Oreochromis niloticus: one gene and its partners. The protein of the gene in region 3 interacts with the protein of the main gene of each other region in a pairwise test. Links are inferred from orthologs where the notes say so. Each region holds a gene or a part of one and is shown on either strand. Other genes may lie near its edges. The genes, in order: hoxb9a, slc25a48, mid2 and unc45a.

Region 1 (7,715 bases), on a different chromosome or scaffold from region 3:
TCTTTAATAGTTTTTTGAGATATTCATGATCAAACATTGTCTAGGATTTCAATACTGCTGGTAAAAATGTCCTCTGAGGCCATGTATAGTAGAACAAATGTTAGCAAGAGCATGCATTTAAGTAAGCTTTATAAATCTCTATTCTCAATACAAGAATGGTTGTAGGTATTGATGGTACCAAATCATGAATTACTACGCCAGGCAAAAAATAAAATAAATAAAATTCTTGCTTTTATATTGTGCACCCACCTTAACAGACCCATAATGTTTGTCTCCTGTAAATTTTTAAGATACTATAATTACATCAGCAGATCGACTATCATCCCTGCATAGAGCAACGCAGTGCCTGAACGTAAAAGATTTCGTGGACTTATCAACAAGGCTGATGGTTTTTATCCCTATTTGAGTCAAATGATACAAAATGTATCATCAGCAGCTGTATTGTAGTTAAGATGTTTCCAGACATTACTTCGCCGTGAGCCCATCCAGCATAACGATATGTTTCTACTTTTTTCCTGCTGCTTAACTAATGATTAATACTGACTTCACTGTGCCTGTAGCTTAGGAGGGAGAGCGGTCATCTTGTAATCCTAACGTTGCTGGTTTGTATGCAAGACATGGGCACGATACTAACTCCAAGTTGGTCCGATGCATCTATCAGTGTTAGATAGAAAGATTTAAGCATAGAAAAACGCTTGTGTGAATAGGTGAATGAGGGGTTATGTATAAGACGTATTAAATCCTTTGGAAACCTCCTTAAGCTTTTCAGCTGAGAAATATAATGATCTACGAGGTTCAGCCACGTGGTCGTTGTTAAAATATATAGATCGCATCAGTCACACAGGTTATGATACTCATCAGGTTTTATTGTAACGTAACAACCGTTACCTTTAATAAGAATATAAAGCCTAAATGAGCAATTGTAAATCACATGAGTAAGTGTTAACGATTTCTTTTAATTATTTATTATTATCTTATTTTATTTTTTAGACTTATTATTACACCGCTATTACTGGGGTTATAAACGCTGACGTCCACTGTAAATATGACTTTATTACATGGCAGTTATTTTACCAGAAGCATGTATCAGTGTTAATCTCGGAGTTTAATTTTTGCAGTATCTGTTATCACATTTGGGATTTTTTTTTCCTTTAGTTTCAGAATTAACACTGAAACAGTCTGTTCCCGTGGTTTTGTACTCAGCGTTCATAATATATGAGTTGTTCTTGATTTTTAGAAATAATTCAAAAACATATGAATTATATTACATTAAAATATTAATGTGACCACGTGATGCATGCCTATTTTAACAGACTACTTCTACAAACAAAATAGAAAATGCAGTTTGATATCAGAAAGAACTGTTCCAAAGCCAGGCAAACAAAACGACAGACAAAAGAGGAAACGATGTCTCTATGTGTGTTAACTCATTATGCATATTCCATGAAAAATGTTATTATGTTTCTTTTAATGCAAAGGAGAATACTTGAGACCCTCACTCTATTTCAGAAGATAAATGTTAGTGCCTATTTTGCGCTCCTTTCAAAACGTTTCCGCCGTTTAGGAAGAAAAGAACAGCGGATGAAGAAAAATTGCCAGTATGTGGGGAAATTAAATATCTAAATACTAAAAGTTCATGAGACAGAATGTTGAGACCCCTTTTCCCCAGGGAAACTAACCGACTGAACAATTAACCGACTGATTCTGTATTAAATTAAATACAAATATCACAGGGAGTAGTTGATCGGGGTTTTTTAAATTTCAGATCAAAGGGCCAATGAATATATTTTATCTAATTAAAAATAATAAAAAAAAAATTGAAAAGCAATTAAAAAAATATTATTTACTTTTAAAAAAAGAAAAGAAAAAAAATCTCTCCAAACCTTTTCTCTAATATTAAATGTCTGCATAATGACATTTTAGCTGGGTTAATGCTACATCTACATATTATTGTTTTTTGTTTTGGTTTGTTTTGTGACAAAATAATTTAGAAAATTGTTAAGTTCATGTTATTTTTCTTACCCCACCGACTACATTTATTTAATTTTAACTTGATTGTGATTAACAGTCAAAATACTTTTAGCTTTAGATCTAATTTGTCATTGGTTACAATATGATGGTGGAGCGTTCGCTGTGGGAAAAACAAACTAGGTTTACTTAAAAATATTCACTTTAGTATATCAGACACACTGCGATCATTTTCTTTGCAATTTCAATATCTGAAAATACAGAAATGCATGAAGTAAAGCCATCTTCATCATGCATTTAAATTGCTTTCTTACACTTTATTTTTTAATTGACTCAGCCTGCTTCATTCTCACTAAATGACTCCTGCGATTGATTTTAATATAATATTTAAATGTTAAATTATATGCCAGAAAACAGAAAATGGGAGATATTGGAAATGGATTTAGTGCAATGTAAATGCATGTAAACAAAAAAGGGTTAGGGGGAAAAGCCCAATTAGTTTGGTTACGGCTTCAGCTTTAAGCAGAATCATCGGAAGAACTTTTTTTTCTGTAAAGTTGCCATTAAAGCTCGGTACTTTGACTAAAACGAAGATAAAAACATAAAGATTGAACAGACGAGGCTGAATTCTGCACATGTACTTCATTATTCTCAGTTTTGGCAGTGGAATTGTGTTTTTTTGGTCACCGACGTCTTCCCAGTTGTTTCATGCTTTTGTGCCAATCTATGCCATGTCAGATCGGAAATATTTTCTCTACAGGATATTTGAAGAGAACATCTAAATGGATATGGGCAATGTTAAGAAAACGAGCATGACGGTATTGGATTTTGTTTGTGTGTCCATGAAGGTTATTTTCCGAAACTCTCTTTAGTCATAGCACTGAAGATGTTGAAATTTAAGGTGGTTTGCAGAAAAATTCTTTTAGCTTTTTCAGCACGACTGTCTCCAATTAACTTCTCGAGCTGGCAGAACGCCCTGCAGGGCGGAGGCCCACCGACAATTAAAATTCCCACAGCCTGTGGTCTGAAAAGAAAAATATCCCTAGCATTTATGCCTGCAGAACAGTATGTATGTTTCTACTCTAAACATATCGAAAATAATGCTAATTATTGCTTAACAATTTGAAGTGTCAGGTTAATTGACACTTATGTGGCAATGTGCTACACTGCTTCACAACGCACCTCATTACTTGTTCTTGTAGTGCATAAAAGCGATCTGGGTCACAGTAACTTTATCTAGAACCTATTTGATTGAGCATGAACAGCTAGAGTTTTTAATACAGTTTATATTTTTATTTCTTTTTCTTTTTGATTTTCAAACGAAGCTGTAAACGAGTGCTTTAACGCAAAAGCTCAGAGGAATGTGGTGAATTCAAGCTCAAATACCAAACTGTGCGCCAGAATCACCAGTCTTGTTTGAAGGACTCTAGGTTTGTTGGGTTTATATTTGCATTTCTTCTCCTGAGATGGACATTCACCAGCCGTCGTTCAGAATCGTACAAGTCATCATGTCTCCTCAGCATATATGAAAGCTGCGCTATAGTCCACCTTTCACCTTGTAAATAACAGCTTTAATAAGAAGCAACCTGTATTTCATATTTAATTGTAGTAAATAACTGTGTTAGCTCCATACGCGATGCACAGTTCGGATTTATACCCTTGAGTACTAGAATGACTTCCTGAACGAGTCAAAGACTCCAAGTCTGAAATTGTAAATAAATGCAAAGACTTACAAGCCCGGTGACTTTGCAGGTCAGCTGCAAGTCAAATGTTAGGACTCCCGATCAGCACAGACTGCAGCTGCTCTTCAGCGTCCTGGTTTCGAGCACACGGGCGGATTTTATCCCAAATAATTCAGCCAAAGAGGTCACGGCCGGTTCCATGAAATAAAAGTCCGTTCCAGCTTCTCTCCCGGTGCCCCCATTGAGCTCCGGACCGAGCTATGTTTACCCATAGCAGGCTGACCGCTGAGTGAAAAGTACCCTGTACCGGAGTAGCAAGAACGATTCAACAGCCCCAGTTGCGTTTACAATCCGCACCACCACAGGCCATATATCAACTCAATAAAAACCAAAGCAGCCGGCCCGATCTAGGATTTTATTATGGTATTAAACAGACTCAAAAAAGTAGTTGAAGTAGTTTGCGCTATAAAGACAAGCGACCTAACCACGCAGGACCCGATTTAATGACGCTCGTTAACACAACTGGCTGTTAATCTGTCAATAAAAAAACGCTCTAGAACTCTCAGAAAAGCTGCCAAGTAGATCCAGGAGTCAAGTAAACGATGAAAAACACACATAGGTGTGAATTTTACCGCCTATCTTGTCTAGGATAGAAAATATCTGTGTTAACTCTTCTTAAGTGGAGGACTATTGGCACTTATACTACTGGTATTTTAAAAGCACACTCCAAGATCCACAAATTGATTTAACAAGAGCCAACGTTGTTTTTTTCACTTAACATCTTGAATATATAAATTAAAAGTATTTGGCACTACTTATTTGTCAGCCATTGTCTCTGCTTTACAGTTCATACATACAGTCCAGACATAACATAATTAACGGTTTTGAAAGCAGCAGTAGAGAAATTGACAAGATATTCGGAAATAGCCTTCATTTTGCATATTGCATATAAACATCTATTGGGGTAGGGGGTGGGGGCTTGTGCATGCGTGATTTACGCTTCATTGACGCTTTTTTTCAGGTTAGAAGAAAAAAAACCGGCCAATCACTTTGCGCCTCGCTCACAGCCTTGACAAACCCCCGTGCACAGTGCTAGGCTGTAGGGCTGTAGCACTTTGTTTCGAAAGAAAGGGACTAGGGGAGGGATAGAGAGGCAGAGAGACGAAGTAAGAAAGGGAGGGGGCAACCTAGCAAAGGACAGAATTGAAGAAGATAAAGAAAGAGGGAAAGGAAGGAAATCTCGTAATGTCTCTTGTCTTGTTTTCTATTTAGTGAACTCGAGGCGTTTCACAGATAATGCCAGAGAATGTCCATTTCTGGGACTTTGAGCAACTATTACGTGGACTCCATCATAAGTCACGATAGCGATGAACTGTCATCCCAGACTCGCTTTCCTAGCGCCCAATATTCCGGCTCGAGCTCCGCTGCGTCCGCGAGTGGGAGGCTGCCGGGTGGCGCTGCTGGGCACACGGAGCATCCCCATCCCGATTCCTATCCGTCCTGCAGTTTCCAGCCCAAGCCTCCAGTCTTCTCGTCATCCTGGAGCCCGTTTAATCCGCACCACGGTGCCAGTGGCCTCCCCGCTGTCTACCATCCCTACATCCCCGCGCAGCACGTGCCCGCCGCGGACACACGGTACATACGTTCATGGCTGGACTGTGCGCCGCGGAGCTCTGAGTCTGGTCCGGTACAGGGCCAAACGGGTCAGGTCAAGCTGGAGCCTCAGCTTGGCCATCTCGGTGGGGAGATCGCATCCAAAATCATGGGACAGCATCAGCACGAGCCCACCACATACATCTTGGAGTCAACGTCCACGGCAGCGCGCGAGCTTAGCCACCATTCGGCCGCCATCCAGGCAACAGGGTTCGAAGAAAACAAGGACATTTGTGAAGGGAATGAGGACAAAGACGGCCTGGATCAAAGTAAGTTATTAAAGCAGGAAATAACGCGTGATAGTGGGAGAGAAGAAGCGGAGGGAGGGTGATTGTAAATGCTTTTAATGCCGCCATAAAACTAGAACAAAGAACTGGAGAGGCCGAAGTGCCCCCACCGTCTGCTCTCTAACTTTACTGTGTTTTTTGGCTCATGTCATCCTTGTATTTGCAGCTGGCGCCTGTAGTAACATTTTTTAAATGGATTCTGTGACGCAACTTTTTCAGAGTTTAACAGTTCTTTAAAAATATATGTCAGTGACCAGCAAGTGATGCATACGATTTTATTAACTCTATTAAATTAGCTAAAGATATTACGAGCAACACTCTGTATTATAATGCTGTGTTGGATTTCTTGTTTTAAAGGTGACCCTGGTATGGCCGTAAAAGAGACCGTCAAAGTGACTCATAGTGCTTACGATAGTGTTGTCCATCTGGCAAAAGCTTGTCACAGCTTTGCGCAAATGATGCGTATGTATCATATACAAGTAAAAAGATTTGGAGCGCGCGCGGGGAGGGCGGTGAGTCCAAAAAGCTTCGAAGTCAACTTAGGAAGAAAGATTATTAAGACTAACAGTTGGAAAACTTCTGGCCTATTTGGCACTTTTTATCCTCTTCGTCCTTGAAGCTATCAACCCGACAGAAATCACAGAAGGTAGTTTGTTTGTGTTACATCCAGATTGACATACGCATTACTGTCCTGTTTCAAAAAGACCAAATCCTCTTTGAGATAGGATATGATGTTATCTCTGACCCTTCTGCTCCCAATCCTTCGCCTTTACGCATTACGCATTACCCATTTTATGGCCCCTGCGTCTTCCGTTTTTCTTTTTAGTTGTACGCTTATAAATGGGAAGAAGAAGAAGACAAAAAACTAAAAACCAAATTGTCGAACCCGGTTTCTTTTTAAAAAATAATGAAAGCTCAGTGACCCAGCCGCAGAGCTCCGATCCGCCAGCATCTATGGAGCAGAGGCCTCTAAGTCAGCCTGCAGCAGGGTCTGGCTACACTTTGTTAGACTCGCATCAGAGCTGGACAGTGAGGACGTGAACTCTGCCTTCTTACAGCGTGTATAAATCGTCCCACCTAGGCTCATGTAAATTCCACAGTGGCTTCGAGCTTTGCCAGCTAAGTGTACAACGTGAAACACAATGAATATAAGGGCGGAACATAAAATAATTATTTTTGTCTGCATCCTAAATTAATTTCATTTTGTGTGTTCTTTATGTAGTAGCGAGTTTTATTTACTGATTTATTTATTTACTTTTTTTTTTTTTAAAGCCAATAATATATAAATGACTGCAGCCTTCAAATCAGGTTCATCTCAAAGCATCAAACAAAAAGCTAATTAAATTTTAACTTTGTTAAAATTACGCTTTCCTGCTGCGTAATACTTCAACACAGGCACAGCTCTACTGACCTCATTATGGTCTGTAGTCTGGTGGTTATACGAACGTATATGTAAAAATACCACAAATCACAGTCATCGGTCATCTTGTTATAAATCCGCTGGTAGTTTGACAAGTGCAGGACGGTCTTTTTTCTCCCCTATTCTTTTATGTGTGTGTCTTTGCTTTTGTTCCTTTGTGTTTTGTTTGATAGTTTGCTTTTTTAACGACAGCATTTGACCTGTCATATGCTGGGTCTTTTCAGAGTTATCTTCCAAAGTTTCTTGACTTTTTGGGTGGGACAGAAGAAAATCGCACCCTAGAAAGAGGTTCAGATGAATGTATAATTTCATTTTAAGTGACGCCGGAGTTTATTTCGCCTTCTCAACTCCCTCCTGACAAATCTACCAGAGGAGTCGGAACCATCGGTGTGCCGATGCGAAAAAGAGCGGGAGACCTGTGTCTCTATAGTGGCCTTAAGAAGAAAAAAAATGATCACAAAGAAACACACATTCATGTATACACGTTTAGTGTATATATACAAGAATGCTACACTGGAGTCACACACATATGCATACACATGCAGAGCCAGCTTATTACTGCGATTGAGCACGCTATCCATCAGAGCAGTGAGCTAGTCTAGGATGGAGGCTAGCAGGCTCCAGTCTGAATTATTAGACTTTCCGTTTGTGTTCGTGAAGGTGCTCCTCCTGAAGAGCTCCTCTGTTCCCCTGTTTAAATGAGTA
Region 2 (8,065 bases), about 15 Mb from region 3:
TCCCTGCCTGGAGCCGAGTCTGAAACAGTGCCACGGACTTTATTTAAACAAGCAATTTCCATATGAGGAATAAATAAAATTGATTTGGGTTTTTTTTCACCTGATTGTGAAACATAGATTTTCAGTTTTGTTATTTTGGAGTTTGTTGGACAAAAATATTCAGGCTTTTCACCTCGGAGTCACTGCACACATCTCTGACTGAAGACAGTTCACAACACTCACACTGGTTTTAAGCACATTCAGATCATTTCTGCTAAATGCTTCCTTCCTTAGCTGCTACACATACTAAATTCTTTTTGGCAAAAGAAATATGTGACATCAAAACATCGATTCAATTATGATTATAGGGAAGAAATGCTGAATTGACTCTGTGTGTCATACAAACACAGATCCTGATTTGTAGGATGGATAAGGACGTAAATAAAAAAAAAATTGCCCAAAAGAATGTGCAACAGAGTGTATATGACTTGATGAGCTGCAGGCTTGTCCGTTTTTATAACAGCTACAACGCTACAGTACGCAAACTGCAGTGATAAAAGTGGAGGAATGCAGCAGTAAAATGATTCCAGAGGTCTGACATACCTTTACTGTATCCAGCGGATGGCCAACGACCACACTGGAAGCTCCTACAGCCAAAACAGAAAGAAAAGAGGAATGAAGCACAAAATGCCAGAGAGAGAAAAACAGACGACTTTCCACAAAAATCTCAAGAGTTTTACTCATAACCAACATGCTGAAAGGCAACGCGTCTCAGCCAAAAACTAAAGCATCTTAAACTGTTTTTACTGCAGTGTGGGGACTAAATAATTACCCACCGCTTGAAGGTGTTGCACACTGAGCAACACTTAGATCACATGGTGATGGCACAGGTGGGCCTATAGAAGCAAACCTTTCTGCAAACAGTCAGTCTTTCTGGATTTTTAAAGGTCTGTAAATAACTGCTGTCTAATCTATGAATGCAGACAGACTGACAGCATGCTGCCACCAATCTGAAAGAGTCTTTATCATCGAGCACAACTTCAGGGGACTTGACTCAACTGGCTGCCAGCTGCTTGTATTCTAGTTATACAACTGGAAGGTTGGTCAGCATATCGCAAACGTTAAAAATCACAGTGATTTCATATTGAATCTTGGGGTGCTTTGTTAGCAGTGTAACCCTAAAATTTATATTTTTTGAAAAAATTATAAAAACTTCAGTTCACCTTTGCTGTGAAGGCAGTGAAACACAAAGTGAAGCTGCAAATGAGGCTGCACACGTTTCTTAACATTTTATAACATTCAGGGAAATCTGTGAGATATTCTTTAAGGTCTATTTCTAGCTTTCTATTCTTCTTCTTTTTAAATTTTTTTTAATTTAATTGCATTTTGCAAAGCAGACAAAAAACATAAATTCTTGGTGATGACAGAAAAATATGATGCACCCCTGGACTCTGTAGCTTAAAATCGATTAGAAGTCCTGCACTTGAACCAAACTTGTGGGGTCTTTCTGAGTTCATCATTGGCCTCCAAAAAGCCTTCACTGATACGATCACTGCTATCGCTTCAGCTGAACATTTGGAGAAAAAAAGCAGGTCAACATGGACTTTTAGCATCAGCTCCTTGTGTAATCTTCTTTGTGACTGCAAAAGCTCCACGGCTGTGACTCTGACATCATAATAATGCGATGTCCAACTGGCAGAATAGTTTCACATTGCAAAATAAAGAATATCAACAATGTGAGGGTTATCTGTGTTTTGTAGCACAGCTGGACTTTAAAATATTACTATATGACAGCTTAAACAGATAATGTGTTTTTGCAGGGCTTTATGTGCTTTTTTGTTTTTATATGCCAGGTTTTAATTTGTTTTACATCTTTTTATAATTTCAGTTTCATATAATAATTAAAATAAAATCTGTGCCGTGCAGTTGCCCACCCCCCAGAAATGTTTGAACTCTTCACTTGTTGATACTTTAATCATCTGAGCTTTAAATGTTTGAGTTTTATAAAAGTGTTATTAGTCGTACATATTTTGCATGGTTCATATTTTCATTTGAAAAGGGTTCACAATCAATAAACAGACGTCATGCTGTCAGAATAAAGAGACCTACTTCTGTTTTTTATGCAACTAAAATGAAGCCGCCACAGCGCCCCTAGCGGCTAGCCCTGACACAGCTCGCATTAAGCTTGGAAAAAGCGACTTTTTGTCCTTAGAATAAAAACGTCGGCAGACTGAATCCTGACTGACCGAGGGGAGAGAGCATTAAGCGAGCAGCTTTCCGAGTAAACGGAGGCGGTGAGCCTGCTCTTCACTGTGGAAACATGAGGGGTTCGGGTGGGGGTGGGAGTCTGTGCAGAGCCTCCATTGTTTATGTGGATGAGGATGCACCCGGAGCTCATGACGTTTTTTTTTTCCCCTGAAAAACGTGTTTTTACTGTACAACAACGGAGGATTGTGCGTGTCTGTGGAGCGCTGTGTGGAGCTCACTGGACCCAAACAAACGCGCTGTTGAGCCTCCCTCCACCTCCCACCCATACCCTCTTCACCCCACACGCCCCACAAAGATCCACTGAAAACACGCATTGACGGAGTGTCTGACTGAGGAACTCACCTGCGATCCATCCTGCGATGAAATCGTCCACGCGGAAACTTTTGGAGGTCTGCATCTTCTACTCGGAGCTGCTCTGCGCGCCCCACGCCAGTAAACCCACAGTCTGCGAGCTCTCCACGGGACAGAACACTTACTGCTGCCGGCTCCTGCTGATCATGTATCGGCCCAGACTTTTTTCACAAGAAGGGAAAAAACCGGCTTATAGAAGGTAACTCCGGGAGTTGTCACTAGCAACCAATCGGAGCAAAGCCTGAATCTGCGAGGCCGTTCTGCTGGCCAATCAGGAGTGAGCTCTCCAAAGCTATGCGGCCTATAGAGAGGCCGGGATGGAAATGAGCCATGAGGAGGAAAGCTGAGCAGAAAAACAGAGAACGCTGCACTTTGACCTTTCTCACACTTCTAACACTTCACTTCAGCCTGTCCAATCAGATTAAAGCTCTTAAAGAGCGGTCATCTTTATAGACCGACAAGAAAAAGTAACTTCCTGTATGTGCTGTAAAATGATTATCATCGATAAAAAAAAAAGAATTAAAAAAAAAACGTGGCTGAATGTAATTAAAGCAGCGTGTGCTTATATTGATCTTTTTATACACTTCATATGTGCGAATGGTAGAGTGTGATCAGTGACACAGCTGTGAAACAGAGCTGCACTCAAACAGACTAACCTGGATAAAAAATTGTCTGCTGATGGGAAAAGTTAAAAAAAATAATAATAAAGAGAACATCTCAGAAGGTGTTTGATAAAGATCTGATTTCTTTAAAAACGAGCAGGGTTACAACAGGGGTGGGGAATTCCAGCCCCCAAGGGCCGGTGTCCTGCAGGTTTTAGATCATACCCTGGTTCAACACACCTGAATCAAATGATTAGTTCATTACTAGGCCTCTGGAGAACTTCAAGACATGTTGAGGAGGTAGTTTAGGCATTTAAATGAGTTCCCCCACCCCTGGGTTACAAATTGAAGACTGCAGTTACACAAACTGCTTATAAATATCATTTCAGTTTTATTTTTGTGGCATCAACAACAGTCACCTTGAGGAACTTTAGTCATGGTGCTGGTGTCAGCCGTTATGCAGAAGCATTGTTTATAAGGTTGGGGAAACCTGCAGTCAGCTGAGACTGAAGAAGTCACTCAGATGTTTCATCCACTGAAAATCCAACATCCAGATGAGCAGAAACAATTTCCTGTGTATTGTAACTTGGTTGGTCCAGAACACGGCACTGAGAGTACTAACTGGAACTAAAAAAAAAAAAGGGAGAGCACATTTCTCCCATATTAGTTTCTTTTCATTGGTTCCTTGCTACATTCAGAACTGAGTTCAAAATCCTTCTCCTATAATTCAGACGTCTCCTGTATCTTTCTCCAGGTATCTCACGGCCCTTCAGCTGCATGGAAAAAGAAACCGTTCGTCCGCCATGTTGTAGAAGGTCTTTTTAAGTTAACTGAAGTTTAATTATTAGTTCCCGGGGCTTTTGTCCTTTGCTTTTGACCTTTCTGGTAATTATTAAGGAAACAGGGTAGCAGCTCAGAATCATCTCCACTTTTCAGCTCACTTCTTTGGTCAAAAACAACATTTAAGGCAGCAGATGTGAGTTACTGGGACAAAAGTGGAGCTTTGTTTCTATTTTATAACAGAGGCTGATGCCAATGTTGTATCGATCCTTCTTATTTTGTCAGAATCCTGCAATATTTTTCAACAACAGCTGAAAAATAAACTCAGACAATAAAAGACAGATGTTAGATATTAAATTTTCATATTCAACATGTGAACACTTTGAACACATAAACCAACAACAAAGTGCTACAAAAACACATCAAACTTCAGTCTATCATAAAAATGTAAATAACTGAGAAAACTTTCCTTACCATTATACAAGTGTAACACCAAGCACAGCGTTCATACTCTGTCCTTTAATTTAAGGATCCAAATGAGAAGACATCTAAAGTTTATGTGCTTAAATTCTGTGCTGTGCTGGGAGTGAACACACAAATATAATTTAGCCTTAAAGGAATAATGAAAGATAAAACAGAAACTAAATCATCTGTAAACACATGTACTGCCCCTGAAATCACATGACCTCATGTCTTTGTGGTGAACACTCCCCCCTTTCCTCCTTCACCTCCACTCGTACTGCACCCTGCGATAAGACGCTGATAACAGAGACACAGCGCTTTCGTACTTTATGGAAAATTACCAGAAAACAGTCAAACAGTCAGTGAGTCAAGTCTGACCAACAAAGGTTAAAAAAACACAACCAGCAAAGAGCAGTTCCTCTATTTCCCTCCTCCCCTGCAGCTTTCCCTGAAATGAAAAAAAAACCCATACATGAGCTCAGTGCCGATCCATTAATGTTTATCTGTAAAAATAAAGGGACATCATTTAGAAAATATTCTTAAAGTCAAGAAACTCAAAACAACAAGGCAACCATCCTGAGTAAGATTCAGATCTATGTTGAAGTTATTATTGAGGCTTTTAATTTGACAGGATCTCAGATTTTTTTTGGTTCGATTCCAGGAGGGAACTCAAAGTTGATAAACAGGCCGGGTCAGGGACGGCATCCGCTGTGATATCAGGGCCAAATAAAATCTACCTGCTTGGGAAATAATAAGGAACAAGGAAGCAGCCAAGAGCCCCGATGACTTATCCAAAAAATAAATAAAACATAAACAAAACAGTGTGTTTGTATCTCCTTTCACTCTTTTACTACAGATTGAGGCAAGCATTACACCATTTCACGTAAAAGTCAATCTGAAAAGCTCAAACATTTATCTCCAGGGTTGTATTATTAGGACAGATTTTGACACAATGACAGTTTTGGTTTGTTAACATAGAAAAGTGAGTAAAATGAAAGACACTGCCCCAAGTGAGGGGAGAGGGGGGCTGAGAGAGAGCGAAGCGGCTGATTCTTTTATCCACCCTTACATATGAACACAAGCTCTGGGTGGTGTCTGAACGAATGAGATAGAAGGTAGAAGTGTCAGAAAAGAGCTTCCTCAAAGGTGGGTGGGCTCAGCCTCAGGGCCCCATTATCGTTCATTGTAAACAGCAGACATCAGCATTCATCGCTGAGGCCGTGGGTAGCTGCTCATGAATGATGGGTGTCACTGCTCAGACGAAACCTTCATATCAGCACTGGTAGAGGAGGAGAATTGTCCTCCAGGAAGTCACGTCTCCCAGCTGTTGCAGCATCTCTCCTTGTAGAATCTGAGAGTCTGAACTTCTGCACTGATAGATCATTGAAGCAGCAGTAAAAACAAACAAACAAATGAACAAACAAACAAAAACCCTCAGCCTTTTAAACTGGTTAGGAAGGCAGCAGGTGTACACCTGTTGGCTTATAAACCTGAGAGATGCATGACTGGCCGAAATGACACCAAAGTGCACCTCAGTTGTTTGTGAGGGTGACAATAATGAGCCTTTCAGAGACAGGCTGAGGAGCTCAGTCGTGTGGGAGGGGCTCAGAGCAGAGCTGCTACTCCTACACATCAAACTTTTATTTTTGATTTTAGGTGGCCACCAGGGAGCCTCTCCTGGGTGAGGTGTTAGAGGCATATTCCACAGGGCAGAGACCGTCCAGGCAGACCCAGGACACCCCGGTGAGATTATGTTTCTCAGCTGGCCTACAAACAACTTATTGTCGCCTTGGAAAGCCGGAAGGTAGGTAGGTGGGTGGGTGGATGGATGGATGGATGTCTTTAATCCTGTCTTCCTTATCTCTCCCCAAGCAGTCGCAGCAGATGGCCGCCCCTCCCTGAGCCTGGTTCTTCCTGTTAAAAGGGAGTTTTTCCTTCCCACTGTCGCCAAAGTGCTTGGTCATAGGGGGTCATATGATTGTTGGGATTGTATTATTGTAGGGTCTACCTTACAATATAAAGCACCTTGAAGCGACTGTTGTTGTGATTTGCCGCTGTATAAATGACATTGAATTGAACTGAATTGGATGGATGGATGGATGAAAAACAATCTACAGGTTGGTTAGTATCGTAAACCTAGAGGGGTTTCCTTGCCATAAAGAATAAATGTACCCCACGACTGATCTGTTTTGTCATGCTTTCACACACGGCTGTGTCATGTATGTTGTCATATCATATAATGAGCTTTCATTCAGTGTTAAACTTAGAAAAACAGTAATACTAAACTGTGAAACAGATGTGCACATTACATTTTTGAACAATAACCTTTGGAGTTCCTGTGTATTCACGAATACATGCTATTGGCCAGTGTGAGGTATTGTCTCATATATCTTAAATGAGTGACTGGTAAACTTTCATTGGCAGCAGAAACACAGAATTTATTACTTGAACCATATTTCACAGGTTTGAATGAATGCCATCCAGGCCAGCTGTCACAGAAAGTATGAAAACTTTTTGGCTGTTTTGTTGAAGCTGCAATTATTTAAATAGATATTATCTGGACAAGTGGCTCAAGAACTTTCCATTGCCTGAGGGTAATGCTGTGCAGGGGAGGGTGAAGAAAAACATTAACCGCACAGAGTCTTAAAAATAGTTTTTTAATAAAAAATAGTTCATGTGCTCATTGTGATGAAGAGAACAAAGAGCAATTCTCAGTGTGACTACACAAAGTGATCACTTCACTTTTACATTTCTTCACTGTGAAAGTTGAGAAATTCTATGACTCACAAACAACTTTGTCATATTTACCAAAGGATGGACTTAAACAGCTAACCCAGAAGCCAACAGCAGTTTTAAAAGGTTTATTCACAGGAACTGGAAACTCAGCACTGCTGGGAATGGCAACAGGAATTTATGCAGATATGTTTCTCTGAATACAGAAGCTCAGCGAGAGAAAACAGGTTTTAGACTTCACCGCAATTATTCTTGAAACTTATTGTATGAATTCTTTTTTTTAAAATAAAGGTTTCATAAAGTAAAAGTGTCTCCCTCTATCAGAACATAGAAAAAAAGAGATGTACAGAACAAATTAGGTGTCATGCTATTTTCCAATTTAATACATTTTTGGAAGGAATCAAACTACAAATAACCAAATTACAAACCTTTAAATTCCTTCTGTCTCAGCTTGACTGATAATATGGACCTGGTAAAGGTGGACTGGTCACCAGGAAGATGGTCAGGCAGATAGAAAATGTGGTGTGTGTGCATGTTTAGACATCTTTGTGAGGACAGAAAATTGGTATGCTACTCTACTTATGGGGACCAAAAGCCCGTCCCCACAAGTTTAAGGCATTTTTGAGGTTCAAAGTGTGGGTTTTAGTGTCAGGGTATTATGTCAATTAGATGTCCTCACTAAGATAGGAAAATATGTTTGTGTTTGTCACTAAAAACCTTGGATTGTGTCACAGCATCACGTGACTTCCAGAGATTATAATAGATTATCTAACCCACTAAATATTCTTCTTATATCATAGTTCTTCCAATCAAATGTATTCTGCTACCAAATATAATTCGACATGACGCTCAACACTGCTGCATCCAGGTTAATCACATCAGTGTGAGCA
Region 3 (7,865 bases):
GACCTTGCAGAGTAAAAGCTCAGCCTGCAACCACCTGCAAGCTGACGTCTTGCTGTTTAGACCCTCATAATCCACTATGATTGCAGGATTTTATTTGTGGCTGCGCTGCAGTGTGAGAGAACCGAGGGGTCAGTGAGCTGAAAGACAGCAGCTGGCAGCTACTTACATTTATATGGATCCTTAAAATCCCAGACAGTTGCACAGCAAAACAGCCAAATCCTCAGAGCTCCTCAACAAAAGAAATGTTTTGTAAACTTTAAGTACATGCACTACTGCAGAGCAAAGATTTAGTCACTGGCATAGTTACATAATAAGCATTATGCAGTCCTTGGAAGTTCTTGTTGCTTTCTTCTCAGGGCATGCAGTACTGATTAGAAATGATAAATAATGTAGTTCATTTTGTTTTATTTTCAGCTAGTATTTAAAAAAAACTTAAAGCTATTAATTACAACTTCCCACATTTAAAAAAAATCATAGAAACATAATTATTTTTTGTAATACTCTTTGTTATCTTGTAACTAACAAAAGCTGTCTTTGAGTAGAGACTTTCATATGATTTGATTTCTTATGGTTGATTTTAGAGGTACAATACATAAAAAATATGAATATACAATATAGAAAATCAATACAGTCATCTCAGAGCCACTATTCTGTGACAACAAAGGTGCAGCCCCGATAAAATCTCGCCACTGGAGTTTCGTGTAGTTCAACATATAATCCAAAGAGAAGATAGCACTGACTGATTAAGATTTTTTTATCCGTGCACCTTTAAGCCTAGACCTCTAGCCATATTATCATTTCTGCTTCCACTTCCTTGTACATGGCTTGTGATGTCCTTGCCACCAGCATCATGTAGACACCTGTAGATTTGGTGCTCACAGGTCTATAGGCTTCTACATGATTAGTGAATATGTATCCTCTTAGTAGATCACCATGCAGGGTGGTTGTTGATGATCCCTGTGCTGTAGCAGTGTCCCCCGATGGCAGATTGCATACATCAGTTGCTTGTCTATGTGACACTTCTACTAAAACACCATCTTTACCTGCGAGGCACTACTTATTCCTCTCACATTTGACACAATGCAAACTAGACACCTGCAATGACTCACTATCACCTCTTGAGATATGACGGTATAACAAGACAGGACAGAGCCAAGGTTATCCTGTTAGTATGCTCACTTCAATAGATATCCCTGCAACACAACACACAGAAGCCTTTGACGTGATGTCAGAAGGGTTTCAAATTATGATGATTACATTGTTTATTTTTATGGAACATTTAAACATGGAAATCTTACTTGTTTTACCATTAAACCCATGTGTACTCCAGAAAAATTTAAAAGTGGGTCATTTGTTAGTGCCAAAACTTAATTAAGTATCCCATAGTGTCCCATCTGTACCCAGCCTCATTAATTATTACTTTTCCCCAGCCTCGGTTATCCCTTTTCAGTTAACTATTCATAAGCCCTGTAATGATTAACAATATGTTTTGGGTTAATCTCTTTGTAAGGGAAGAGATTTTTTTTAGAGCTAATGCAAAATTCTTCAGCTGAGTGTGTTATTAAATACTTTTATTGACCTCCACAGTTCAGAATTACTGAGGTCTGATGTTGTATTGACAGAATTTTTCTTTTTCATTTCAAACTGTGAAGCTCTAACGAAGGCCCAGACTCACCAACGAATCTCTCTACCTTTTTGTTGTATATTTTAGTATTTCTTTCTAACTCCTGAGGAAAATGATCAACAAAATCTCAGTGTTCATCAAATAAAAGCAGACCGTTTCAGTTCATGTAGCACTTATTGCTGAAGCTAATTTGTTGACCTTGTTATTTGCTTGGCTTTTAAGAAATTATAATGCAAACATACAAAAAAAGTATAAAAAACATAAAACAAAAGCACAGCAAGCAGTGAAATGACAGAAAATACTAAACCTGGAAACATACCAAGAGTGAATGAAAATGGATGGATGGATGGATGGATGGATGGATGGATGGATGGATGGATGATGGATGGATGACATTTTAGTGCATCTGCTGCTCAGTCATTGGTTGGTCTTTTCTCACATACTGTACTTACACACAGACATACTTAGCAAAGCTTCCCTGTCTAAATGTGCCATGTGTATTCTATCCATGGACATTAAACAGTGTTTTTCTCTTTTAACTTTGCAGAATTGGTTCTGTGTTCCTTTGACCAGTGATGGTAGTGTCGCACAGTCTGCCTCTGATCTTCATGCACATTTCAAACAAAAACGAAACAAAAAACAAAAAATGTCCACTTATAAAAGGATTAATCCAGAATGCTAACCATGACCACAAACCCCACAAGGTGGCTTTAAAGGCTGTTTTTTGTGCTCACAGGTGTAGGTTCATAAGTTCCAATGCACCCATTGTTAGTATCACAAAAGACATGCTGGCTCTGAACATATCAATGGAGGATTTGGGGCATTGTCAGTTTGGTTTTTATGTAGGATGAGATGAGTGTCCTTGCAAGAGAAATTGACAGACATCCTTCACTTTTAAATCCTGCCTTTTGTGACAATACAAAATGAGCCAACCACTGCAGTGTAAAGTGTAAGTTCTAATAAGACTGTTTTTGGGGCTGTGGGATGTTGGAACAGGAAAATAGCAAACTTATTTGTTTGAGCCAGATGACATTCGTCATAAAAGACCAAAGTGAAATGTGAAAGTTTGCCATTTCACACAAGCTATTCCTCATTTCGAGAAGGTTAAACTGATAAACGTACTTCTTTGACAGGTTTACTCATGTGGAAAATGTGTCACTTTGCAGACTGGGTGACACTGAAAGATAATAAAAAATTTATTTCTTGAAAAATAAAATCTATTTTATATGTGTGTGTAACAACTATGTTAAAGTCATCTATCACTGTGTACTAATACACCTTATACTTTCAGCTGGAATCTGTCTGTACAGCAATAGCATGTTCAGAAGCGAACAAACAGTCTTACAGGCCTGCATGCCAGCACAGATATCCACCTGCGAGCTTTGATATTCAGTCCAATGGACCAGCTGAGACCTGGAGTTACAGTTTATCAACCTAATCCATAAGCATATGTGTAAGGTGTGAGGGGTCCTGTGCACCCCTTTGCTTTTAAAACCTGTCTTACAACCACTCAGCAGACTGAGAGGGCCAGTGCTGGTTTTGCTTTTCGTGGGTGGAAGGTACAGAGAAACAAGGACTACCTATCAGTTTTCTCCTTAGGATGAAGTTGTCCTTCTCGTCTCTATTGAATACCGAGCTTGTCACAGAGGAACTAATTAACATGGCAACTTGTACGGCCGTGCAGTTCTTCCACCATTCAGTCTGTATCCCATTTGCATTTGAGAGCTGTTTGAAGGCAGTAATTCAGCAGAAAAATCCTTGTTTCTCTTCAGAACACCCACATTAGCTCACCTACAGAATTGGAAGCTCCTTTCAACTTCAGGCTCATGATGTACACATTTTAACGCTAGCACATTTTCTAGCTTTCTAAATGTTTATTTAGCTAAAAAAAAAAAAAAAAAAAAAACCCTCATCACTGAATCCCCATGCAAACATCATACTCTTCTGTCAGCTTCAAACATCTAACTAAAGCCTATGACTATCAAAATTTAATAATTCTTACAGTTATTACAGTTTGAGGACCAAAAGCTGAGAATTCATTTGCAATAAAAACCTCTGAAAATCAGTGTTATTAAAGCATGAGACTTAGAAATGAAAGATTTTATTTAAATTAAACACACACAAAAAAAATAGAATTCAGAAGAAGAAAAAAACAATCTACAAACTGGTGACAAAGGAATAACCCCTCGACCTTTATACCGAGAGGAATCGTTGGCTCTGGTGTGTTATAGAGCATTTTCTGGGTCCACGTGACCCCTAAGATTGAAGAATATATATATAAATCATGACAAATGATGGGAGTGGCGCCCACTAGGATGACAGTGCCCCCATCCATAAGACATGAGCGGTCGATAAATGGTGTGGTATAAAAATAATATGGAAATGTAAAATATGGCTGTTATCACCGCCTCTCAAACCAATTAACGCTAATGATGACTCTAACAACTCTTACACTTGGTTGTAAAAGTTGTTAAACTCTGATTGGTGCCTGGGAGTAGTGACATCATTACTGACTTAGATTACAAATTATGTATATGTCTGTATGAAAAGAAGGAAAACAGTCTGGATTGTGGAATAACCCCAAAGAGTTATCCTGACAAAATTATTGTTAATATCATTTTACACTGATTAATGGTACAACCTACATATGTGATTCTAATTTGTTCATTTTTATTAAGCAACATTTAAATATTTTTTATCTTAATAAATATAATTTATCTACACACATTTGAGTTACCATCTATAAGAAAACTTTCATATAATTATATCTGCTGTGGGAAATAAAGAATTGCCACCGCGATGTCAGCTAAACAGCAATTTAATGTCTTAATAACGGGCCAAGGAGACAGGTGTATTATATTAACAGATCCAAATTGCTAAGGTGAAGACAAATGACAGCGACACCGTGAGGTCACAGGGGATGGGAAAATGGTAGGAGGAGGAGTATGGGTGCGCACAGCTCGGGTTCTTTGAACGGGCACTAAAGCAGCGGTGTAACCGATCCCAGCTGCTACTGTGTGGGGAATTGAGAGCTATTCCCGTCCCCCGTACGTTGATCACGTGTCCTTAGGGGACGTTTGCTTTGGGGATCACTTTGGGAGGTAAAGGCAGCGCACCGGTGCGCGTATCCAATTTGGAGAGAAACATCCTTAATAATCGTAATGATCCACCGGAGGATCAACCGGATCACTTTTGTTTCGGGGCGTTGTCATACACCCTGTACAGTGGCTTGCTTTACACAGATCAGTAAGGAACTGGCACTCTTTGTGTGATCCGTGACTCACTGACTTGTCAAAACTTCTGCGCTTACGAGCCGCGATCTTTACTGCGAGCATCACATTGCTGCCATCTCCTGCAACGAGTCGACGTACGGAGCTGTCACTGCGAGCCGAGGTAGGCTGTGCTTCCTTTATGTGTGTTTTTTTTGGCGGAATAGCGAGAGTAACATGCACAAGAGGGCACACACTGGCTAGGAGCATGAGTTAGTTTGTGGAAGGCACACGCTGTGCAGTATTGTGGGTTCCAGGGTTGCAACAGTGTAATGATCCATGTCAAACGATACAGTAAGTGTATGACGAGCTCTTATCTGTGTACAGAAACATGCAGCATGAAGACGTGTGTAAATGTGTGCCTAATATTCTGCTTCGAAAAAGACGGTGAGAAAAAACAAAAACAAATGCGCTCTGGTACGTCTGTGGTGGGTCAGGGACTTAATACATGTGTTTAATGTTCACAGTGGCCTGCAAATTTATTCTCAAAAGTTTTTAAGAGTGCTAAAATTTCTGCACTCCTGTTGATGATGTTGCTGTTGAATATTCTGAATGAACTCTTACTTTTGGAGTGGATTATTTTAAAGACTGGTGAACATGCTTTAGCCTTTATGAACTCATCAGTTTAGCCATTGTGTACCACAACACCAGCCACAACATTAAAACCACTACTACAGCTGAAGCGTATGACACTCATCATCCAACTACAATGATGTGCTCTCCTGGGAAATCTTGGTTTCTGGCATTTATGTGGATGTTATTTTTGATATGTACCCACCTAAACATTGGAAAACAAGACATGTTTCATGACAATGGCGCTCCCAGATGGCAACAGCCTCCCCCAGTGGAACACTTGCACCCCACCACACCACAAAAACTGTTCAGGAACGATTCTAGGAATGCGACAGAGAGCTCGAGGTTTTGACCCGGCCTCCAAACTGCCAGATCCCAGTACAATAAAGCATTTACAGGATGCCCAGAACAAGCCTGCTTCTCTGAGACTCCACTCTGAAACCAGCAGGAGGCAAATGATCCACTTCTAATGTCCTGGTGCTTTTTCCACACATGCCCATGTCTCAATCAGTTGCAGCTGTTTTAGCAGCACAAGGGGGACTTGCACCACACTGGGCAGGTGGTTTTAAGTTTAAGGATGACTGATGTAGGAAAACAGGGACTAACCTGAGCTGACTCCCAGCCACGCCCTGCTGCTGTCAACCAAAGCAGCAGGAAGAGAGGCATTTTCTCATTTCCCCCCCAGAGAGATTAAAAGGAGATTTTTCAGAATACATATAAAAGTAGATTTTCTGAACAATCGCAGGAACACCAGTTGTCAAGTCTTAAATGCGTTTTAATTTTATGTAATGAAAATTCCATGTTATTAAATAAAAATGCCAAACTAGTCCAGTAGAAGGCACAAACCAATGTAGTCACCACAAACCTGCTAATAAATGTAATATGAATCCTGCAGAGTCCCTGTTGTGATATTAGATTGTCAGCCTGGTTATTGTGGAGACAGTGCTGCAGGTGACTGTAGAGGGACTCTGGCTTTGCCTTCAGAAAAGTGTAAAATGTCAGCTCCTTATCAATAATGCAGCACACCAAAAACAGTGGGGAGTAAGAAAATGGAACCCACTGTTAGAGACGGTTACCTAGTGCTTCATCATTATTCACATAATTGAATAACAAATACTTTATCAAAATCCACTTGGAGTAATTACCAGCAATGCAAATATTTCCATTCTAATCCTAATACACAACCAAAACAAACCCGTATGATGAGCTGTAATGTGCCATATCTTGTCATGCTGATCACCAGTGAAACAAATTTAATGTCTATTACAATTTTTTTTAAAAACGGTGGTTCACCATCTTATAAAAATGATTTATTTCCCTGCTCTCTTACTGCCTGTCTTGTTAATGCATGATCACTGTGGTTAATGAGACAGGTCTCAGTGCATGGGGACTGACAGTTTCAGAAACTGCACTGCTAGTTGGGTGAATACAACTGACACCCTCATTCATCATGCATCCACGGGGTGCTGCTTGCTCTCCTAGTCTATCCACGCTGCGCTTCTCTCCCCTTGTCTTAGTCGAGTCTCGAGTTGCACCCTCAGATGATAATTATTAAGACATTATACTGATGACAATAGCAGAGTTTTTTTTTCTGTAAAAGAGACAGGGAGTCAGCTTCTACGTGCTGGGATGATTATAACTGTGAAAGAGGGTTGGCGTTCGTTGTCGAGGTTGCAGCTGCAACGATTTCCAAGAATAGATGTAAATGCCAACTGTACAGTAGTGTACCTGTTTGACTCTGTTACTGGCAGCCAGTAGCTAATTGCGGACTAGCCAGAAAATCAAAAGCTGACTTGTCAAATATCGTTTTTTTTAAGAATCTGTGATATTACATTAGATAAATGAATATCAAGACGTTTTTTCCCCACACTTTTCTAACTAAATAAATGAAAACAAGTCTACATTCTTTTATGCTGTGCTTCATCAGTGGTTAAAATATGTTACCTGACCTGAAGCAATAATATAAAAGTACAATTATGAAAGCATTATTAATCTCGCTAATCCCGATGGCATGCCATGGTGCAATTTTAAAATGTAAGAGATGTAATTAACCCACATTTACCATAATTACTGAAGCCTTGACTAAACTTTGTAAGCTTGCATATTGCAGTATCTCTTAGATTTACTGTATTAAACTTTGATGCTCGGGAAAATCGAATGAAAATAGCGGATACGTGAATCCCAGTTTTGTGCACTTGTCTGCTGCAGCAGCTACAGCCCTTGAATGTTACTGTTCACAATCACTGTTTGCATAGGGAGGTTCTCTGTACATGTAAATCAGCTTATCCCCATAGAGCAATTAGGCAGAAAGGATATACAGCATGGGGATGTTTTTACTGAAGTCTGTCTGTCAACACACTGATGCCTGAATGGGTCTGAATAATCCATATCTTTAAGAG
Region 4 (7,418 bases), on a different chromosome or scaffold from region 3:
TCTCTGCCCGGCCCTGATACATTTGATGCTGGCATCATTTCCAAAAGGTGTCGTAACATTGCCCGCAGCTCCTTGGATGGTTCTGTGTTAAGATTCATATAGTGAGTAACAATTAAATGTAAAGAACACAGAGCAGACACACACAAAGCATTTGTTAAAGGTTAACCTTCATCAGTGTAACCAAGTTCCCAATATAAGTGTCTAAACTCACCAGGAAGTATGGCTTCATCTTTTCCTCTGATCTCTCTTTTCATTCCCTCTGTCAGAGCTTCAAACATCACCTGTAGCAGATGGCAGGCAGCCAGAGACACACTTGAAGCTCCTGATCCCATTACCGCACACAGCTGCTCCATTCCCAACTCATTCACTATCGCCATAGTCTGGAAATTCGAATAGTGGACATCAGCAATAACGAACTGCAAAACAACTGAGTGACAAGCACATTGAACAGTCTGCTCTAGCTTCATATTAATTATGGATGAAAACCAGAAGGCATATAAACTTTTTTTTATAATTCCAAACTACAAAAATGCAAAAAGTGACTTTAAAGATGAAGCAAATAGTAATCTCAAAGGAACATTCACACTTACTCTAGACTGATGTCCTGTGCACAAACCAACCAATGTCCTGAGAGCAGAAAGTACAACATCCTCCAGCTTTGACTGCAGAAGTTTCTGAATTAGCTTCACTCCATCATTACGGAAGATCTGTTCAGCTCCTGCTTCATCTCTAGATAGCACCACTAGATTCTGAGCAGCCTGAAATTGATTGAAAGATTTGATTATTTTGGTGCCGTACAGTTTTACAGAGACATCAGCATTAATGAAGAAAAATCAGGCACATTAAGAATGAATTAGAGAAATGTATTCATCTGCCTTTTGAGTTATTCTCACCTTCTGTCGATCGGACTCTTTAGTAGATGGATCTAAGAGGAGGGAGAACATCTGCTGCACACGAGCATCGGTGGAATTTAGTTGCGCTGACTACAGGGTTAAGAGAAAATATTTCAATTAGCAAGATATAATTTAGAAAATAATTTTATCCACACCATTATCCACATCACACCACCTTTTGCTGAATCTGTGCTCCCAGCTGTCTGAGCAGATCCTGGAAAGCTTTATTTTTGGGCTCCAGTTGGGCACATCTCTGAGCATCCAGAAAGGCCTGGTCAAACCGGCCAAGTTTCTGAAATGCCTGGGCCCTTCGAAATCTGGCTTTCACATCACTTTGGTCAGTATCGAGTGCTGAAAAGAGACAATTATAATATTCATCAAGCTGCAAAAGCATCTTTCGAAAGACACATTTCATGCAACAATGTCCAGAATGGTGAAAATGACAAGTTATGAATAATGTTATCCATTATAAAAAAAATATTTCTGCTGTAACTATTGCTCAATAAAAAAAAAAAAAATGCAACACTTTGGTCTATAATACCTACTTAATAACTAAAATTCTGTTTTTGTTAAGACAAGATAATGCTGCTGGTAATATATATACCAGTATCATTATGTTGTCCATTGTTTGTTTAAATATTGTACTGTAATGCAGGAAAAGATGCTTGTATGTAATCGGTGTCATCACACAGTTTGGCCAGCAGAGCGCATTCAAACTCTATTGTTTACAATACTCTCAGTTTGCACCACATATAGCAGAGTATGAATCAAGTAGTGCCTTCACAATAAGTAAGCAAAGTCAATAAACAATTTCACTTTTTCAATATAACTTAAATATAATCTATATATACCATAACATTAAAACCCACTGGTTTAGGTGTCCCATTTCTACCAAAACAGTTGCTGGGTCATGATCACAGGATGCCTGGTGAGGTTTTGCTGTCTGGTACTGGGATATCGGGAGCATATCCTTTTCTGGGTACTGTGGATTGCAGAGTGAGGGCCTTCATGTATTACTGTTGGTCCACTCAATCATGTGATAGGTTTGGATGTGGGCAGTTTGAAAGCTGGACCAGTGCCTTTGGCTCTTTATCTATCTGGCAATGTAAATCTATGTATATAACGAAAATATATGCACAGTATGAGTCAGATGAGCTGATCTGTAGAAAATTGTCAGCTTAGTAGCTCAGTTTAATGTTGTCATGCTTCTTTTGTTTCTTTTCTATTTTTGAGCATATGAATGTATGAAATATAAGGCCATCTGTGCATTTATATGGATGTGTGTTATGCACATAGGTCCATTTGTATGTATTTACAAAGGTATTGCAAATTACCTTACTGTAAACTACTCATATACACAAAGTACAGGTTCATAAGATCTTTCTGCACCTTTTTTGTTTGCCTTGATATAAATGTGGAATTTATTATGATTTTACATATTCTAACCCATACAGAGTAATATAAGTGCACTTTGCAACCTCTGTGCCTTTCTCTTGTCTTGTATATATTACTCCTGTTTCTTATTTATTCCTTTTGTCTTACTATTTATATTTGTTTCCTGCATAGTTGGTGTGGAGCACTCACAATTTCATTGTACATGTACAATGACAATTAAGAGCTATTCAAAAGTGCACATGGCAAGGTTGCAGGAGGATCACTGTGATCATTATGGTCATTGTGCAAGTGTACCCTTTTTAAAGCTGGACTGAACCCAAAAAACTCCCAGCAGGAAGTTACATTAACAATTATGGATAAAAGTGACTGGTGAATATGGATAAAAAGACCACAAGCCAATATTTATATTTTGAAACTATTCGGATGATGAATAAACTTAAAACCGCATAAAATGGGGCTAATTTGAGCACTAAGATGGACTATTTTCTTTCATTTCAGCTAAGCTCCCTGTGGGCCGCAATGAAAGATTAGTTATTCGGTGATGTTGAGAATAAACAAGAGAACTGGCCGACCTTTGGAGGCATCAGCCTCTGCCTTGCTGTACTCCTCCAGCTTAAGGTAGCACGCAGAGCGGTTCCGGTACAGTACAGCTTTGTCTGCCTGGCTGTCACTCAGCTTCAGTGCTTTGGTATAACAGCAGACAGCACCCTGTATGTCTCCTGCCTTGAAAAGAGTGTTTCCCTCCTCCTTCAGGGCGGCAGGGTCCTATAAGTAAAGACGGGTGGAAATGTAGCAACAGGATCACGGAGAAACTTCGAGCAAATGTATTTGAGTGAAATTTGCTAAGCTAGGGAAAAGTAGCGAATTGTTTCTACGTTACCTTTTCTTTTTCAGTCTCACTCATCTTCAAGGTGTCGCACACAGTATAATGCAAATATGTAGATTTATTTTACTATACGTGGTCGCAAACACCGCCAACTCCAGCCAAACATGTTACATCTTTCTACACTTCCGGGTGTCGGAGCACGTTGATGACGTGCACTGCCCCTCTCGCCCACGCTGTATTACCATAAAAGGAAGAGAGCAGCTACAACGTTTCTGCCCCCATCTCCACTTTATTTGGTTATATTTCCATTCCATGTGGCTTTCTTCAGTCCATGCAGACACAGAGAGTTATATCAGGCTACTTATGTCATAAAGAAGAGGGGTTGTGAAAGCCAGCAGTTCATTTTTTTCATACATTCACCATATCTGTCTGAGAACTGTAATATAGCAGCTGTTTAAACTTAGCAATTAATTAGTTAGAACTATCTTTTTAAAGGAATTACACATGAAAAGAACATTTGGGTTGCCAGGTTGTGGGAAAATCACTCTTCTGACTGGGTTGTTCTCCACTGGTCACATTTTGTAAAAGGACCCACAAATGCTCAAAGTTATTGAATCAATAGAGCAGCTTTAAATTATAAATTATATTTTTAAGAATTCATTTATGTGAATTCTGAGCATAAATATTATGATTTTTGTCATTATTGCCTTTAAAAAAGAAACTAGTTATTTTGATTAACTGTATAAGTGTATGCATAAGTCTGTTAAGTAAGTAACACTCAAAGATAAATTGATCTTTTACTGTAATTTTTTCTACGTTTTCAGCACTGATGAATGTCAGTAACTTCACATAAGTATCCTATGTATGATGCAGGACAATGTTAAACAGTTTTATGTAAACACTGTCCACTTGGGGAGGCTATTAAGCAATACAGTCCTTTATTATACTAAACTTGATCAAGACGGGAAGAAGGAACTAATGTTTGTCTTCTACAGTTTGCATGTTTTTGTATTTATATGTTACATGCTAGGGATTCCATTTGAAATGTTTGTGGATGTTAGTTAAAATGTTTTGCATGTCAAACTCGGTTGTTCCACAGTGCCAGTTCAGCCAAAATATGTACTTCAGGTCATACATAGAAGAACAACTTAAATCATGTGTTACATTAAAATTTAAGCACCTCATAGTGAAGTGATTCATTTATTATGAACCAAGGAAAAAGTTCTCTCACTTTTTGGAAACAAGAGTGCATTCTGATTTTTGATGTAAAAAGTTTAAAAATTAATATCATTGCAAATTAATATGTTAACCTAAAGTGAGCACTACTGCTTTGTCTCTTGCAGTGGAGCTCCAAAGTTAAAAACCCTAAAGGACGCGTACTGCATTTCTTATACCAGTCCTATGGGAAATCTCCTTTTACCAATACTGTCTAGCACTATTGTTCGGTGTCCTCTGTCGCCTTGGAGACAAGTTCGTCACCTTTGGTCCTTGTGCTCAGGTACACCTGTTAAGACTCTTATATTACCACAGCACCTTTGTTAATTTAGAAGAATATCCAGCATGGTGATTGGTATATGTTTCCTATTGGCTGGACTTTGCTGTAAGGTCTCTTACATAATATAGCTGCAGGAAATCTAAAACAGCACCACAGTCCCAAAGAAAGAAGGCCTGGCCTGAAATCAACAACAGCTGAATAAACATTTGCTCCTTTCTTATGTGGAAAATTATGTTGTCATTACTGGTGGACTTTCTGGAACCATATTCTGGAAATAACTTAGAAACCTTAAACGTAGCACAGCACTTTTAATGTTTTTTGAGACCTTATCAAAAGTTATTGTGTGTTGTGACTGGAGTAAAACACATTTACCAGTGGAGGTGGTGAGTGACAGGAGAATGGCGGCTAAGCTGTCATCCCTGTTGGACAACATCTCCCACCCCATGCATGAGACTGTGACAGCACTGAGACAGCACTGAGCAGCTCCTTCAGTGGGAGACTGCGGCACCCACGGTGTGGGACGGAGAGATTTCGCAGGTCTTTCCTCCCCACTGCTGTCAGACTCTACAATAAAGACTTTTGCAGCTGTTCAAACACACAAACCCACACATGTGCAATAAGACTGCTATACGTGCAATTCTTCTTCTGACGAAGTTGTGTTTTTGTATTTTCCTACTCAGTTGTATATAGTATTTGTATTTCTATTTTATTCTATTGTATATGGTATTTTATTTTATTCTATTGTATATATTATTCTATTTTTATTCTATTGTATATAGTATTTTATTTTATTTTATTGTATTTTATTGCATTCCAGTGTTTTCTAATTTCTGCTACATAACTTTGCACTTTTGCTGTAACAAAACAAATTTCCCACCTGTGGGACTAATAAAGGCCATCTTATCTTATCTTATCTTATTTCCTGTAATTTCCTGCGCATTCTGCTCATTAATAACTGAAGTGACAGCAGACCTTCTGTTTCAAAAAACAGACTTAGATAAGCCACCAAAAAACAACAGTGTAGCTCATCATCAATGCACCATTATGTTTTCCACATAGGGCTTTGCTGCTGTTGTTTACCTGCACTGTGGTTCTCTGCAGCTGTCACTGTGGTCTAAAACTCTTTGTCTGTTGGAACAGGACTTTGGCAGGGGTTACAACAGTCCCACTGCAGTAGCTTTATAAAAATTTCATGGAGATAAAACTTTACAGCTACCTCAAAAATAACTCTCTATTGCATTTTTTTTAATGCCTGTGTTTCTTATAACAAGCACTCAACACTGGAAACAAAATAAGTGAATACTGGACATCTTTAATCCACTATCTATGTGGGTTAATTTGCTTTTAGTCAACCTTTAATTATTAGTGTCTGATTTATATGCTTAAAAGGTTCTACTGCCATAATCCACTGAGACACTGTAGGTGAGAAATGGACAGCTACTTTCCTCCATTTTTCAGTCTCACACATGCATTAGTAGAAAAGGTCTTTCAAAAGGTATTAATAAATTTCAGAATTGAATTTGTTTAGAGCAAAGATGAAGAACTACATTTTTGCTTTTTATAGGAACAGTAATAAATCATTAAATTAAAATCATTAAATCATTACATTAAAATGTAATAACAAACAAGGGTAATATTTTACAGTTCTGTATTATCATAAACACTCTATTCCTGTGCCATTGGCTCAGCATGTATCAGACTTATTAGTCCTTCGACTGTTCACATTCTCTGCCTTCACTGTAAGGTTTAGGTCAATTTTGACCTGGGCTATAAATTCCTTTATAACATATATCTTGTCTTTTTTAAGGCTTTATCTTTCAAGGCACCCTATGTATAACCTCAGTTACTTATGTGCACCATATATGATGACTACTATACTGTTTTTCACTATAACACTATTTGGAGATTACCCCATGATTCTTCAAAAACCTGCAGGTGCCTGTCTGTGCAGGAAGCTATAGGCAAATGTGGTGGGAACACCGCTGTACCGTTAAAATTCAGTTTCAGTATAGTTTGACAGTTTCAAGATTCACTAAAATTAAAATTTTCTTTGATTTCGACCCTCACTGGTGGATCTAATTTCAGTAGATACGGCTAAATAGATAACAGGTCAAATTAGCACAAAGCCTTCAAAAAATTGTACCTGTACAACAGTATAAAATTTAAAAAATATTTTTAATTCATGTGGACAAGGATAAGCGGAAGAGTATGGATAAATAGATGGATTATTTTTTTTTAATAGAAAAAGCTACTTTCTAAATGTTTATTTTACCGAAGATGCTGGTCAGTCAGCAGCACACACCCCCTTTCCTCCCATCAGCCTTTGCAGCAGCTGCTCAGCGGCGCTAGCTGCTAAGCTAGTTCAGGTAATCTGTCAGCCTGCAGCTAAATCCACGTACACTGCTGGGCTTTACACTCTTCCGGAATACTCTCCTTTCATGGGTAACGTCAGATTTTATCATTATGAGACAAGGTGCCAAGGTCGTACGCAAACGGTAGTCGAGGTTTAGGACAAAAGTAAGCGGTTAGCAGGGAAATATCAGCCACGTATTGTCTTAATGTTATCAGTCAATACTTGCTATCGCCCGTAATCACCGACATAAATGTTCAGCGGAACAAAACGACAGATGTGACAGCTGTTTATCCAAATTTATCAGTACCTTCCTTTGCAGTTCTCATACTAACGTTGTCCGACTCTTGAATCGAGTTCGCAGAGCTGCCAATAGACGTAACTTGATGGTACATTTGACAGCTAGCGCTAGCTTTTTTTATTCGTAATTTGTAACGTTAGGCAGTAAGTATGATAATT

What was found.
Region 1: the proteins of mid2 (region 3) and hoxb9a interact in binary tests that used the Homo sapiens proteins (3 or more experiments, as listed by UniProt). The two-hybrid records come from large-scale screens. The link is inferred for Oreochromis niloticus from reciprocal best matches to the Homo sapiens genes MID2 and HOXB9.
Region 2: the proteins of mid2 (region 3) and slc25a48 interact in binary tests that used the Homo sapiens proteins (3 or more experiments, as listed by UniProt). The two-hybrid records come from large-scale screens. The link is inferred for Oreochromis niloticus from reciprocal best matches to the Homo sapiens genes MID2 and SLC25A48.
Region 4: the proteins of mid2 (region 3) and unc45a interact in binary tests that used the Homo sapiens proteins (3 or more experiments, as listed by UniProt). The two-hybrid records come from large-scale screens. The link is inferred for Oreochromis niloticus from reciprocal best matches to the Homo sapiens genes MID2 and UNC45A.

Annotation. Positions count from the first base shown.
Region 1 is NC_031969.2:2,761,357-2,769,071, forward strand, and holds the start of hoxb9a (homeobox protein Hox-B9a), read left to right. Parts: upstream 1-4,660; 5' UTR 4,661-4,956; coding exon 4,957-5,572; intron 5,573-7,715. UniProt on the Homo sapiens protein: Sequence-specific transcription factor which is part of a developmental regulatory system that provides cells with specific positional identities on the anterior-posterior axis.
Region 2 is NC_031966.2:6,859,212-6,867,276, reverse strand, and holds the start of slc25a48 (solute carrier family 25 member 48), read right to left. Parts: upstream 3,118-8,065; 5' UTR 2,645-3,117; coding exon 2,590-2,644; intron 627-2,589; coding exon 583-626; intron 20-582; coding exon 1-19.
Region 3 is NC_031966.2:21,470,283-21,478,147, reverse strand, and holds the start of mid2 (probable E3 ubiquitin-protein ligase MID2), read left to right. Parts: upstream 1-4,553; 5' UTR 4,554-5,017; intron 5,018-7,865. UniProt on the Homo sapiens protein: E3 ubiquitin ligase that plays a role in microtubule stabilization. Mediates the 'Lys-48'-linked polyubiquitination of LRRK2 to drive its localization to microtubules and its proteasomal degradation in neurons.
Region 4 is NC_031972.2:57,599,043-57,606,460, forward strand, and holds the start of unc45a (protein unc-45 homolog A), read right to left. Parts: upstream 3,330-7,418; 5' UTR 3,193-3,329; coding exon 3,169-3,192; intron 3,054-3,168; coding exon 2,861-3,053; intron 1,245-2,860; coding exon 1,069-1,244; intron 984-1,068; coding exon 894-983; intron 759-893; coding exon 591-758; intron 381-590; coding exon 212-380; intron 83-211; coding exon 1-82.